3 linked regions of the Kluyveromyces lactis genome follow. The protein of the gene in region 2 interacts with the protein of the main gene of each other region in a pairwise test. Links are inferred from orthologs where the notes say so. Each region holds a gene or a part of one and is shown on either strand. Other genes may lie near its edges. The genes, in order: YIP4, YIP5 and TVP23.

Region 1 (4,712 bases), on a different chromosome or scaffold from region 2:
CGCTTGGCCTGAATGGAACCCTAAATACCATGCCACCGGATGAACTCGTTACACCTGAAGCAGCGTTTGAATGACGTCTCTGAGAAGACTGCTCCGATATTTCTCCCAAAGAGACTATATGATCAGGATTTACTCCCAAAGAGGTAGGTAATCTGTCGTTGGCGTTAGTAGCGGTTGCTAAGCTATCTGAATGAGAAGCTATCGAATGAGACGAGTTATCATTTGTTAATTTAGATGTGCTTGGCGTATTGAAGAATAAGCAAGCGGATTTCCTTTCCATTGGAGGCGTGCTGCTTTGCACAGACTGTGCACTTGGTCTGTGGCGGCTAAAAAATGTGTCCAAAGATCCTTGTGATGTTGGCTTCTTGTCATCCTTAGCTATGGAAGATATTGAACTAGATGTATGCGGCGAGACGCCTAACTGCCCTACGTTTCCTGAAGAAAGTTTTGAAATCTGGGAAAAGCTTTCCGGTATTTTGCGATCTGTTGAAACTTGAACATAAGCATTAGCCAAAAGCATATCGAAGTACCTACCCCATCTCTTTCTAAGTAAAAAACTTGGAACGGCGACAGATTCGTCATCTTCCGTTATGAACTCAAAATCTGCTAGTAGCTTGTTGTAGACTTCCAAAGAATCTTTACCTAAAACCATTGAATAAGATGGGAAGACGGATCTTATAGATGTGATTTCAGATGGTGGGGCAACATATCTACTGTAATTTTCGAACTGGTCTGTCTCTGTTTGAGCCAAACTGCCCGGTATTTTCTTTGCAGAGGATGATTTAGAGGATTTCTGATCTCTCTGAGCAGAATGGAATAAATTAGTGATATGCAACCCGAAGGAAAGCAGTCTATCAAATTTTTGTACAGAGGGCAAACAGCCAGAATCATTTTTGGTACCAAGAAGCAAAGCCTTGTGATGCGATTCCCATAAGAACAATTTCCAGAATCTATGTTTTGAGCTATGTATATCATCGCAGTTGATACTCAATCTAGTCCATTTCCCTGAAGTGATGTTGTAAAGGAAACAATGAAAATTGTCTGACTGTAAGTTTGGATGGAAACCAGATATTATGATGTTATAACCGAATTTATCGCCGGTGGGCCATTGCAAATTATAGGCGATATGTAATCTTTTTCTTCGTCTATCGTTGTCATCATAGACGTGCATTCTAGCACCTTCGGCATCCGGCATTAAAGGTAAGGCGAAAAGTGGATTCTCTTCGGAGTTGAAATTGCACTTAAACTCATGATCATGATCATGAGATTCCTCTATTGAGGGAGAATACACAGCCAACGACGGCAGTTTAGCCTCATTTTCTTCAACCAACAACGAAAAGTTATTTTCGGAGATGAGAGGAACAGATTTGCCTCCGATATTAACTGTTATATTATGTAAATCGTCCTCTTCGTCCCACACATCCGTTTCCCAACAGTTTGTCGATAAATTGAAAATGTCAATAGTTTCAACTGGTTGGTCCAAATTATTCAAACCACCCACTATAATTAACTTGGTGTCCTTCTTTGGATCCGATTCGTACAAGACATGCATCTGATTATTGAATCTTCTTGTCACTGACGGGTCCTTACTGATTAATGACCAGACTTTATTATGTAAATCCAATTTCCAAAGTTCATTAGTGGAAATAAACTCATAATCAGATTGTTCTGAAACTGTCAAACCACCGAAAACAAAGATAGCCTCTTGACAATAGCATACAGAATGAAATAACCTCTCTGTCAACCGGGGCATCGGATTACCCATGGGATCAGTTTCAGGCATAGTTTCTACCCGTTCCCAACGTCTTGAAATCAAATCTAAAAAGAACACTTCCTTACTTATCCATTGTCCCAGGTTTTGAAATCTATTTGAGTCCTTCCTTTCTCGGGCAAAATGCATAATCAACTCTTGTTGTAGATTAGTAGATGTTATTTCTTGTAAATTCAAAGGGATTGTCAACCCACCGTGCACGAATATCCCCGATCTGGCAAGTACTGTTGCAGCACCAGTTCTTACGTCCAATGTAGATCTTCTGATGGAGCATTCATCCATACTATCCGCCGTTTGAGCATCCAATTGCGGTAGGTGTAGGTTATAACAAGAACAATTTGAGGGAAGAAGAAACGGCATATTCTACTGGAAAAAATTTTTTGAAAGTGAAGTTTGTATGGTTCTTGAATCGATGTGACAGCTATTGAAGCAGCTATTTGCTATGCGTATCTTGTATGCTCCTGGCTGACTAGCAGAACCCAAAATATCAAGAAGGGCCAACAACAGAAAAAAGGAAGATGGCTCCCAATTACTCAACAAAATAAACTCTGCAGTTTTCGTACCGAAACGTATTAGCACTGATACTAGACTATCGATATCTTAAGGTACAATCTGTGGTTGATGGATAATACAGCTTGTTCTCCCTCTTTTTCCTTTCACCGATGCTTTTGATCAGAATGGGATTCTGGTAATTCCTATTTCAAATCCTTTAAATTTCATCATCATTTTGCAGTAAAAGAGGCCAAGGGTGCAGCTTTTAATAGAAAATACAGAGGAGAATTAAGACAGAAAATGATAAGAGATAATTGATTGGTGAAAAGGTCCTTGTACTTCGAAGCATGTTTATATATTTATTTACAACAGGTTTATAAAGTGGATAGTTTGTTTTTTTTGGGTGCGTGCAATGCGGCCGATTCAACAAATCACAGATAACCAACCTAGCGTTACTAAACATAAAGCCAATGGGTATTTTTGAACCAAAGTCTGGGATTTCGATACTTTCCACATTGATATTATTGACCATGACGAACATAGTGCAAACGAGACGATTCTTGCTATCACTATTAGTCTTATAAGTGTAACTTTAGGGATCTTATTGAATAAAGGTAAGATAATTGAACATGCCAACGAATTGATCACTTGCGGGAACATGCAATAACCTGCAAGAGACAAATATGACATCCAAGACATTGGTTCATGTGGATTCAAAAGTTTCAAATGTGTGGCCATAGCACTGATCACCAGCCAACAAGTGATGAAAAACGAGGAAAACCGTCCACGACCCTTGGATAAGAACAACGAGTATAGTATAATGAAACATAGAGGGGCCCAGAGGTCGGTACCTTGGAAAACATGTTGATCTTGAGCACTTGGTGAACCCAATGGGAAATGTGGGTAGACTACTTTCTTTAATTTATCATTGATCTCATGGAAATCTCTTTTGAAAGTGGACACGATACTTTCATCTAACGTTCCTCTAGCAGAAGTGGATAAAGTGGAACCGTAACCGTTACCAGTCTCAGTTTCAATAAAATCTGGTTCAATGGTGTCCATAATTGGCCTTACTCGCTGGGATATGGTAATTAATTGTAAAAAAAGAATAAAATAGAGGTTTTTACTTATAAGTCAATTCAGAAGGAAGGCAACATGTTTTTTAATCCTTTGATACAAGCGTTATTTGTATCAATCAGAGATTGTTCACGCATAGTTATTCATCATTTGAGATTCGAACTGCCGAGAAAGTAACTTTTTTTTATTTGTCACAACTTCGGTTTTCTGGCAATTCGCGCAGACCGCCTGGTCCGCCCACTAAGCTACTGGGGGTTAATAAGAAGCAAGGTATTTCTTAGAGGCGTTTGCCCGTTATGTTGTGAGAGCCTATCACGAGACGTTTCCCAAACTGCAAGAATAAACATCCCCTTCGACCACAGTGCACGGTTCCATTACGCCATTCCAGCCTCTAGCATTTCCTGGTTCAATATCCTAAAACGACAACCTTGGGAGACGTGGTCATCGCTCATTGTTACCCTGGTTTCGTTCATAACGATTTCCCTCTTTCCCTCATTTTGGTCTCCCCTATATCATCACTATACATCATTTCTCTAACTTATCGGGTAGGGCAGAACCAACGAAGTGAGAACACATCCAAACCAACGGATTCTATGCCTTGGTGTTGCCCGAAATAGCAAGGTGCGGTAGCTTATTGTACGCCCTTGTTTTATTTACTATATGTATTTTTTCATGTATCCCTAATGGAGAATGTAACGAACTGCAGCCTGCCAGCTCTTTACATCTTGATTCTAATAATAAATATGGTAAACGAGTGGAAAGAGAAGAAGAGAAGAGAAGAGAAGAGAAGAAGAGAAGTAGGCAAAGAAGGCAAGGGACGTAAATGTCAGAGGCTGCGTGCGCGAGCTGCGGTGCGAAATGCTAGGCAGAATATAGACACTGCTACTGCTGCTGCGCAGCAGCAGTAGCAGTAGTAGTAGCATCTTTGCCATCGAAACCCGACATCTCTGAAATACCTAGCACCCTCCCGCTCACAAACAAAAACAGAACACAACCCATTCCATAACTAAATAGTACATATACGACACTTGGCAAGGCAACACTGGGCACTAGCCCCATCCCTAGCCCCAGTTGGTTTTCCAGTCCAATGCGAAGCGATACCAAGCTGACACTGCGACTTCTTTTCTTTTTTTCCCATATGAAGGAGAACAAAAGTGAAAATTGAGAATTGAAAACTTTCGGTAACGCTTTTTGGCATTACTTACAACTTGTGTTTTATTCATTGGGAAAACACGGTATTTTCAGTGTTTTCCTTCCCATTTGTTTCCGGGAAGATCATCAGTATTGGCGCCAGCTCGAGTCAGGTCAGTGTGTGGTTATTGGCGACAGGTTTGAACACAATACGAAACGGTGTAGATCTCGTTTTTCGGGT
Region 2 (4,844 bases):
CCTAGCATCTGTTGCCGCTGCCACCAACAACGTCGCCCTTCCAAAGGATACTATCGGCAGTAGCTATAACAGTCATCAGCATCCTCTAATACACGACTGTTTGCAGAGAAAACGCTCGAACTCTAGTGCTGATGAAGAATCTTTGGCTGCTCCAGTAGCGTTCAAGAAAAGAGGACGGAAAAACTCAAGAAAGAATAGCATGAGAATGAGCAGTAACACTTCGTTCACTTTGAGTTCTGCTGTTTCTTCCAACACAACGTCAAGTACTACATCACGCTCCTCTTCAAGATCAAAGTCACCACTATCAAGAGCTCAATCTGTCTCAAATTCACCATCTTCTGTGGAAGAGGATGCTGGAGTAACACGAGGCTTTGATGATAACCAACTACTGGCTAATATCTCAGGAGCTAAAGTTATCACTTCCTCTAAGTGCAAAAGGCAAAGAACAGGACCAAGCTGCGATGTTTGCAGGTCAAAGAAAATTAAATGCGATGCCACCGTACTAGTCATATCACAAGACCCTTCACTGCTTTTCAATTGCAAAGAAGATGAATCATTACATTGTCCTTTGTCAATTGATACTTGTAGACCAGATATATTGATGAAAATCCCGACCGAGGTCAGGAAACAATTAGCAGAACGCAAAGACATGTCGCTGGTTAGACATGTTGATAAGTTGATTGCTTTCAGCTCTTGTAGCTCATGCCAAAAGAAAAAAGACCGTGATTGTAGTTTTAGCAAAGGGTTCACTAGAAACGATATCGCCGTATTTTCTACTTTGAACAAAAAACTGGGCAAACGAAATTCTTTAGGAGATTTCACAGTCAAGGACTACCTCAATGTTGGTTATTCACTGGATTGATAACCTATACATTCATATACAATTCACAGGGCAAAAAGCATTATCGTTCAGCACCCTTTTCATAAAACGAGTAACACTATTTCAACTTTTCATTGAACTTTTTTCTATTAATGATGGACATACCATTTCAACTATTCTATTCATTATTTCCTCTCCTGATGTACATTATCCCCCTTTGGGTACATTAGAGGGGTGAAGTTTTTTTCCCTGTTATTCTCTTTCATTGTTTTTTTCTTTGGTTTTTAATCGTTTTATTGTACTCTGTTCAACAGTTAATATATACCTGGTCTAATATGTTTAATTAAACACCCGTTTTACATATCATAACTGATACAAGCGTTATATTTTTTAGGTGTCATATTATCATGCTTTGAGTAAGTTGTAGAGTATATACTTTAAAGGATGATCCATCTTACCAGTAACGTAAATAGAATATGAACCCCAATCATGGCAAGCAATAGAACTTTACCATTTTGTAACTCTGTTACAACATTTTTTAGTTGTATATAGATAATACCACCGCTGTATGCACCTCCTATTGCCACTAGGACCCATTCTATTATATTTTCGAAGGGTCCCACAAGTCCCGTCACTACACTTATGAAACCGATTGGCACCCACACAACGTTACTGACACCATATGTGTCAATTGCTGTTATGACATCAAAGGGTTCTTTGAACACGAATTTACAGATCAAAAATGCTAAGATTGGCACCCCCAAAACGTAAATGTAGAATAAGAATAGACAATTGATCATGATCTGGAAATCGATTACATCAGAAAAGCTATTTGTGATTAGTGATCCGATAACACTCTTACCGGAATAAGATAGGAACAGTACCATGATGACAGTGGCTGTTATCCATACAGTACTGTACAAATCCAATTGTGCATCTGCTTGGCTTTCAGGATCCCTCAATGATTTCAATTCACCTAGTTTCAATGCGGTGATAAGTTTTTGTTTGAGTGTGGTTTCATCTACTTGAAAATATGGAGATAGCTTTGAGAAGATACTGGCCTTTCCTGTAGTTATAGCAGGTTGAGGAGCCTCTCTAGTAGTTTCTAACGTTATATCTTGGAGCTCAGGCTCGAATGGTTTTAAGCCGGGTGTAACTTGAGGAACAAAGGAGTCGTCTTCAAATGGATTAATATCATCATCATCACGATCTATCAAATCCTTTTTAGCGCTCATTGTAGAAGGAAAATCTATAAGTCAACAATTGTGCGACAAAATTATTTGCTACCGTTCAAATTCTGAATTATGTCAGAGATAAATGCCCGATATTTCTTTCCAATGTTTAGAGATTCAATAAACCTTATTTACTATGCGTATGTTGAAGTGATTTTGAACAGCATTTTTCAATTGCTACCGGCAAGACATATATATATATATACGGGTAACAAAATAAGAATACACTTGCACGTGACTTAAATAGGCCCCTGCTCTACTAACAAATGTTCACCGTATTGCCACACCGCTAAAGAAGCGGGTAAAAGCACAGCTGAACATGATCCGTTGCTTGATCATATTGGGCACACTTCATACGTAGAACACCGCAAATGTAAAAGATGTATCCAGGTATGACTAACCAGCAAATTTATAAAACTCTTGATCGATTTCTAGGAGACGTAGGTAACGGACTTTTTTACCATACAAATTCAATCGACCTAATTCCAGATAATTAAAGACTCCGTCATTCTAATTAACTCTTTTATTGTCGGTAAGCTTTAGGGCATACTAAATATAACAGTAAAGAATTTTAAGCAACGTACGATAAGTAAATTACAAAAGGTAACTAATCCGCCATGAGTTGTAATTGACCTGGCATGTGATTCGAAGCGCTTTTTCCAATAAGCCGTATCTGCCATTATGATGCAGCCTTTGACTATTTTCAATGAAGTGTCGTGAAATTGCATCCCTTGTGGATAATGATTATAAACAAGATATTCTATTCAAATCTGAGATTTTCGGTCGAATTGAGAGGTGGTTTTGTTGTGAACCGGGATAGTCGTCATATTGGAAATATGAGAGCATACCGATCTATATATTTTGTACCTCAACTCACCATTTTCTAATGCATATCAAATCAGATCAACACGGTTACAAAGCTCCGACGCCAATTGTCAATCTATAGGATTATGATTAACATGTGCTGTCTTATCCTGAATCGAGCTTAATCAAGCTCAGGATTACGGAAAGTGTCATGTTCGTACAAGATGAGATATACGAATTAGTTTTTTTCTTTTTCACCTTTTCAGCAGTTAACTCAAGCTGGCATTTTAATGCAGAACATTGAAAGATGAGGCTGGCTGGCATGATGAAGAGGCCATCGTATTGGAAAGACTGCTAAATAATCCGACTCTAGTGGTCATTTATATACCAAAGATTCAGTAATTCAGGTTGTCATAGTTATCAATTCATATTACAATTACATTACACTACTCTCCCTAATTTTTCCCAGTGTATGCTACGAAGTGTAATGAAATTAACTACCAGGATTCTGAAAGTCGATCCTGCAGCGATACATTTCTCAGATAGTGCCCATATAGACGGATCTTTACCGACATTCACATGTGCTGAAACTGAAAAAAACCTGTTAGAAGCTGCTGGTATAATACGAGATACCTCAGAAACTGTTGCCTTTCCAACTGAGACTGTGTATGGACTTGGAGGTTCTGCCTTGAACGATGAATCTGTAAAAAATATATACAAGGCAAAGAACAGACCTAGCGATAACCCTTTGATAACCCATATTTCGTCCCTTTCTCAACTTAACCGTGTCATATACTCAGATATCTCTGATGATTGTAAGCCTCTTTCCCATGTACCAGAGATTTATCATCCATTAGTGGAAAAACTGTGGCCTGGGCCACTTACCATACTCTTATCAATTCCCGACGGTTCAAACAGAAACACATTATCCAAATTGACTACTGCAAATCAACCAACATTTGCGTGTCGAATCCCTGCTAATCCGATTGCAAGAGCATTAATAGCATTGAGTGATACCCCAATCGCAGCACCTTCAGCCAACGCATCTACAAGACCATCACCAACGACCGCTGAACACGTATTCCATGACTTGAATGGTAGAATACCACTTATTTTAGATGGTGGTAAATGTTCTGTTGGTGTCGAATCTACTGTAGTCGATGGGCTTGTAACTCCGCCAATGTTATTAAGGCCAGGTGGTTTTACCTATGAGAATATTCTAAACATTGGCGGACCTCTATGGAAAGAGTGTCTGGTAGAGACTAAAGTAAACATCAAGGACGATGAAAAAGTCAAAACTCCAGGTATGAAATATAGACATTATTCCCCTAAGGCTAAGGTTATTTTATTGGTGCCTGAAGGCGATTCGCAAATCATATCATCCGAAAGATTGGGTAGACTGAAAAGCTTAGTTGACAAGGAAATCATACAGCAGGGTGCCAAAAAGGTTGCATTCTTGAACAGCTTACATTTGAATAAACATTTCATAGATGGCAAGTGCATACATGAATCACTCGGTACAACAGGCAAGGAGATCCAAGCCAATCTTTTTGCTCTTTTGAGAAAAGTTGATGAAGAAGACAACGTAGACCTAATTGTTGTAGAGGGAACAGAAGCCAACGAAGAAGGGCTAGCAATTATGAACAGATTAAGGAAGGCAGCTAGTAACAACATCATTAACTTTTAGTGAAATGTTCCAGAGTATTTTAGCTTCCGATATATACTATTCATAAAAGTAACACTAATGCATATTACCATAACTAGTAACATATAAATGCTCGTTGCAATTTAATATACATGAATACATGAAATATATAACTTTTTATCAGACCAATTAAACAATTGAGGAGCTATATGAGTCCAAGTATCTATTTTTCTTGACATAGTATTTCCTGATTTCATCACCAATGAAAACGCTGCTGCTTAACGTTAAGAGGAACAGTAAATCTCCCAGGCTAAGACTTTCTGTCTTAAAAATACCCTGAAAG
Region 3 (4,717 bases), on a different chromosome or scaffold from region 2:
ATTTAAGGTTGAAGGTTGGAATCTCGATTCCAGCAAAATTGAGTTTGACAATGCTAAAAAGGACGGTGGTAAAGTCAAGAAAAGTCGTAAAGAACGTAAGGAATATCAACAGAAATTGGCTGAGCAAAGGCGTAATGCTAATTCAAAAGAGTCAGAGCCAGTTGAACAAGAAGGTTTAGAGGAACCAACACCTGCGAAACAGACCGAAAAACCAACTAAGAAAAGAAAAATAGAAGAAGTAGAAGCATCACAGCCAGTTTTAGCGACGAAGAAGCCGTTAACAGCATTACAACAAAAAATGATGGCCAAACTTACCGGTTCAAGATTCAGATGGATCAATGAACAACTATACACTATTTCTTCAGAGAATGCGCTAAAGCTAATAAAAGAACAACCCCAATTATTTGACGAGTACCACGACGGGTTCAGATCTCAGGTTCAATCCTGGCCAGAAAACCCAGTTGATGTTTTCGTTGAACAAATACGTGCAAGAGCAAACAAGCCTGTTAATGCTCCTGGTGGATTACCAGGTTTAAAGGATAAAACTATTGTAGTCGCAGATATGGGGTGTGGTGAAGCTCAGCTAGCTTTAGACATCAATAACTTCTTCAAGAGTCACAACAAATCCGCCAAGAAATTCCAAAAGAAATCTTGTAAAGTGCATAGCTTTGACCTAAAGAAAGCAAATGAAAGAATAACAGTTGCCGATATCAGAAATGTTCCCTTGCCAGATGAATCATGTACGATCGTAGTGTTCTGTTTGGCGTTGATGGGAACAAATTTCCTAGATTTTATTAACGAAGCGTACAGAATTTTAGCTCCTCGTGGAGAACTATGGATTGCTGAAATCAAATCAAGATTTGGTGACGGGAAGGGTGAAGAATTTGTAAATGCCTTGAAACTACAAGGTTTCTTCCACAAGAATACTGATGACAGTAACAAAATGTTTACAAGATTCGAGTTCTTCAAACCACCTCAAGACATTATTGAAGAAAGAAAAGCGAAATTGGAACGTAGACAGAAGTTTATCGAAGTAGAGACAGAAAAGGAAGAGCTACAGAAGAAAAGAGAACAGATTCCAGAAGGAAAATGGCTACTTAAGCCATGTATTTATAAAAGGAGATAAAAGACTACCTTTTCGTTTTCCTTTGGTTAGAAGATGTATTATTCACATTTGTACGAGTGTCATTCCATTGATGTACCTAAATCTATGTACTTTTTAATAAATTTGTAGTTTTATCAAGACCTGGTGAAAAATGATTGCAATCTGGTCACTCTGTCGAGGTTTGCAAACGATGGAAGCATTGGAAGTTGGAACAATGGTGCTTCGGCTGTATGGCCAGGTTCCCATTGATCACATAAACGGTAAGCGTAAGCATTCCATAAATTTAAACCACCTGCAAAGATTACTAGTATCAAATACACAAACTGGAACTTAATCAAACATAAAAATCCAAAGACCACCCAAATAGTAGGAGCTACATAAAGTGACAGCCAAAATAGTTTTGAATCGATTGGGTTGATTGGGGCCGCCGCAACATCTGGATATTCTTTGAATGATTCAAATCTAAACGTCGTAGTGTCTTCTCCACTAACATCATACCACCATCGCTGTTGAATTAACTTTCTACCATTGATATTCTTCGTGAAGTAGAAGTCTGCTGCCAATGTTAAAATAACAATTATGAACTGTACTGTGGAACTAAGGAACCATGATCCTAACAAATAAAATACAATTGGCACCGCTTTTCCCAGAAGGTGGATCGTTAGAATCAAAGGATGAGAAGATGCCAAAATTGTCTTGTAGAAGTTTCTTGCTGAATCCATATCTACTATATCTCAATAGGCTGATCGATTTCCTTGACGGTATACCCTAGTTTGTATGAGTTTTCTAAGTCGTCTCTCTTTTCGTTGGTTCTTTGGTGTATTTTTGGTTCAAGACCTTTATTTTTCTTAAGGTCCGGAAACTCTGAAAGTTGCAGATTCATGAGAGAGGTATATTTTGCTGGATCTTTCATGGGAAATGATGGGCTAAGCACCAATAATTGTTGAAAGTTCATGGTGACGCATATCATTATAATTATAATTAACTAACTAAATTAAAGATTATATAAAATTATTGAGTTTGATTGTATATTAGTATTACCTTGTGTGTGATAGTATTCGGTAATTTTTTTCTTTGAGTCATAGAAAGAAATGAGTGTACTGAGAGCTGTTAGGATGAACTAGCATTTCTCTCTTCTTGAATTCATTCAGTTCCATTTTGATTCCGTCGATGTATCTGCTTTTTGACAATTGCTTCCGACTTTCAGGGAAAGCCTTATCAGACCTTAAATACTCCGTTGGTGAGAAAGTGTCATTAACGTATATTTCTTCATTAAATCTGCATTTTTTAGCAGATACAGGTGAAGATGAATCATTGGAACGTACTACTGAAGGAACTACTGCATTGAAGTGTACAGCTTTCCAATTTTGATGCAAATGTTCTATGATGCGATCGCTATGTGTGGTTTGCCCGTTATTATGGTGATGTATGAGTCTTCCTTGATAATCCTTTACCAGTAAAGGTCTCTTCGAAGAGCGCAAAGGTGGTTCAACGGTTGGTGGACTAATTCTTGTGCTTTCATTAAATTGGTTAATTAACGCAATATCGGAATTTTGTTGGTGTTGTTCAGACTTCAACAATAAAGAATCAAACACTAAATCGATGTCCATGAGATCTTTAAAACCATCATCTTCTATATCGTCTTCTGTTTCTAGATCAAGAAGTGAAGGAGGTTCTGCTGATTCAGATGGTAAAATAATATGCTTTGATGTAGTCGGTTTTGATGTAACCGCTTTCTGCCATTGAGTTTTAGCAGATACCTTTTCTTGAATGTCTTCCTTCCTGGCTTTTTTCTTTAAGGGAAACAGTTTTCTAAAGAAGGAACTCAATCTGGAGCTCGATCTCTTAACCGGAGAGGATTCCACTGACTTTTTAGCTTTCTCCTCTTTCTTCTCATTCGAGTTTCCTGATATAGGTATTTTTGAGACAACTAACTCCTTTTTGATAGATACATTAGGAGTAGGACCCGTTAACCCACTTGTAGCAGTGTCTATGTGAGTATTATCATGATGTGAGCTACATTTTTGTGGGAAAGAAATTATTGTCGAAGGAACCTGCAATAGATCATTGCTGGCCTTTGCAGTGCTCTCTGCTACTATTTTTTGGGTTCTAACGGATGATGACAAAATTTTCTTTGTTAGTTCCTCATCGCTGAGATCTGTACTGGTTGCACTCCCTGGATCACAGATCTCTTTTATGGAAGTTTCAGTGCTTTGTGAATCATTACTGGACGCTGTTTGCTTATTGGAGAACGAAGAGATACTCACCTGTGACTGGTGCGATTGTAACCGATTAAAATGCAAAGATGATGCTGTTAATACTGATTTGTTGGGAGCTTTTGTGTTGCATAAAGAAGGTGCTCTGGTGTTTGACCTTGGGGTAGTGGTTAAAGAACCAAATCGACTAGTATTAGAAGGCAGCAACTCATTAGAAATTGTTGGGAGATGATTGACCCGCGAATGCGGATTCTGTAACTGGGATGGCTTTTTCGACATATCTTCGTACTGCGGTAACGATACAGTCACCATACTCGAAGATCTATGCATAGCGGTAATTTTTGGGTGACTGTTAGCAGATCTTTGTCTGTGTAAAGAAACAGAGCTTGCACTCTTTGGTAATTGTCTTCTTGGGGTAAAACTTTCTCCATTAGGAAACTGAAACGATTGTTTCATATGGCTTCTCTGTATCTGGTAAGGAGTCAACCTGTGATGTGCTTTATGCTCTGGGATTAAAGCCAGGTTGGGTATGGACACCGATTTGGACAATTCTACACCATTTTCGCTATTTTGAAACAAACGCTTTTGGGAATGCGAATACGATGGGAAAGCAAATAAATCACTAGTCGATGTAGACCTGGGGAGTAGTGTAGGCTGATTGATACCCCTTGATGTGGACCGAATGCTTGATTGATCATTAAATTGAAAGCTTGACATTACTTCCAGTGATTGTCCTCTTTTTTCTTGAATACACAAACAGCACACTCACCTAGCAAACTTGTAATTGCAATCGATACAGAACAACCAGGACCGGGCAGTTTCTACTAAGTTGGAATTCACTAATTGAACGACAAATGTGTCTCTCCTAGATTAGTATAGGATAGCTTCAAAGCCCTTTTTCTTCAATTGCGAATCTTGTGAATCTTTTTTTTGTTTATTATGTGAAACCCTTCTTATCCTATAAGAAGCAACTCGTCTATTTAAACTTCAGAGTATGAAATTCAGATTAATGGTACATTAATATGGTTATGTCTATTTCAAAACTTACCGTTCTCGTTCCGTTTCAATGCCAGTTTCTTAAAAAAGTGTAGTTAAAGAAAAGAGGGAACAAACGCTAGTAATATAACCACAGATCCTGTACAGTTTCCTAGTTTCGAATGTATTCAATTTAGTTGTATCGACCCGGTATTTAGTCAATGCAAACCCTACTAAGTACAAAGGCAGACCTGTAAAGGTATCCTCATAATTATTACCTGGTTCATGAAATCAACTTATTTTCATTTAAATTTCAACTGAATATCTCTTCTGCTGTCTTTTTCTTTAGTACTCGTTTGGTACTATACTTTTTTGGGAATCTGCCAAGTTTCTGAGGAGAAAGAATGTATGTTAAAAATAA

Evidence for each region.
Region 1: the proteins of YIP5 (region 2) and YIP4 interact in binary tests that used the Saccharomyces cerevisiae proteins (3 or more experiments, as listed by UniProt). The link is inferred for Kluyveromyces lactis from reciprocal best matches to the Saccharomyces cerevisiae genes YIP5 and YIP4.
Region 3: the proteins of YIP5 (region 2) and TVP23 interact in a two-hybrid assay, tested with the Saccharomyces cerevisiae proteins (2 studies listed by BioGRID). The link is inferred for Kluyveromyces lactis from reciprocal best matches to the Saccharomyces cerevisiae genes YIP5 and TVP23.

The regions. Positions count from the first base shown.
Region 1 is NC_006042.1:1,154,380-1,159,091, forward strand, and holds YIP4 (Yip4p), read right to left. Parts: upstream 3,326-4,712; coding exon 2,687-3,325; downstream 1-2,686. Other genes in the region: KLLA0_F12452g (uncharacterized protein), read right to left, coding at 1-2,131. UniProt on the Saccharomyces cerevisiae protein: May be involved in proper membrane localization of Rab GTPases.
Region 2 is NC_006037.1:276,623-281,466, forward strand, and holds YIP5 (Yip5p), read right to left. Parts: upstream 2,056-4,844; coding exon 1,258-2,055; downstream 1-1,257. Other genes in the region: SUT1 (Sut1p), read left to right, coding at 1-862; SUA5 (threonylcarbamoyladenylate synthase), read left to right, coding at 3,329-4,543; Ca(2+)/Mn(2+)-transporting P-type ATPase PMR1, read right to left, coding at 4,691-4,844. UniProt on the Saccharomyces cerevisiae protein: Possible role in vesicle-mediated transport. May be involved in proper membrane localization of Rab GTPases.
Region 3 is NC_006039.1:1,019,176-1,023,892, forward strand, and holds TVP23 (Tvp23p), read right to left. Parts: upstream 1,828-4,717; coding exon 1,240-1,827; downstream 1-1,239. Other genes in the region: RRP8 (25S rRNA (adenine645-N1)-methyltransferase), read left to right, coding at 1-1,126; AFR1 (Afr1p), read right to left, coding at 2,185-4,038. UniProt on the Saccharomyces cerevisiae protein: Golgi membrane protein involved in vesicular trafficking.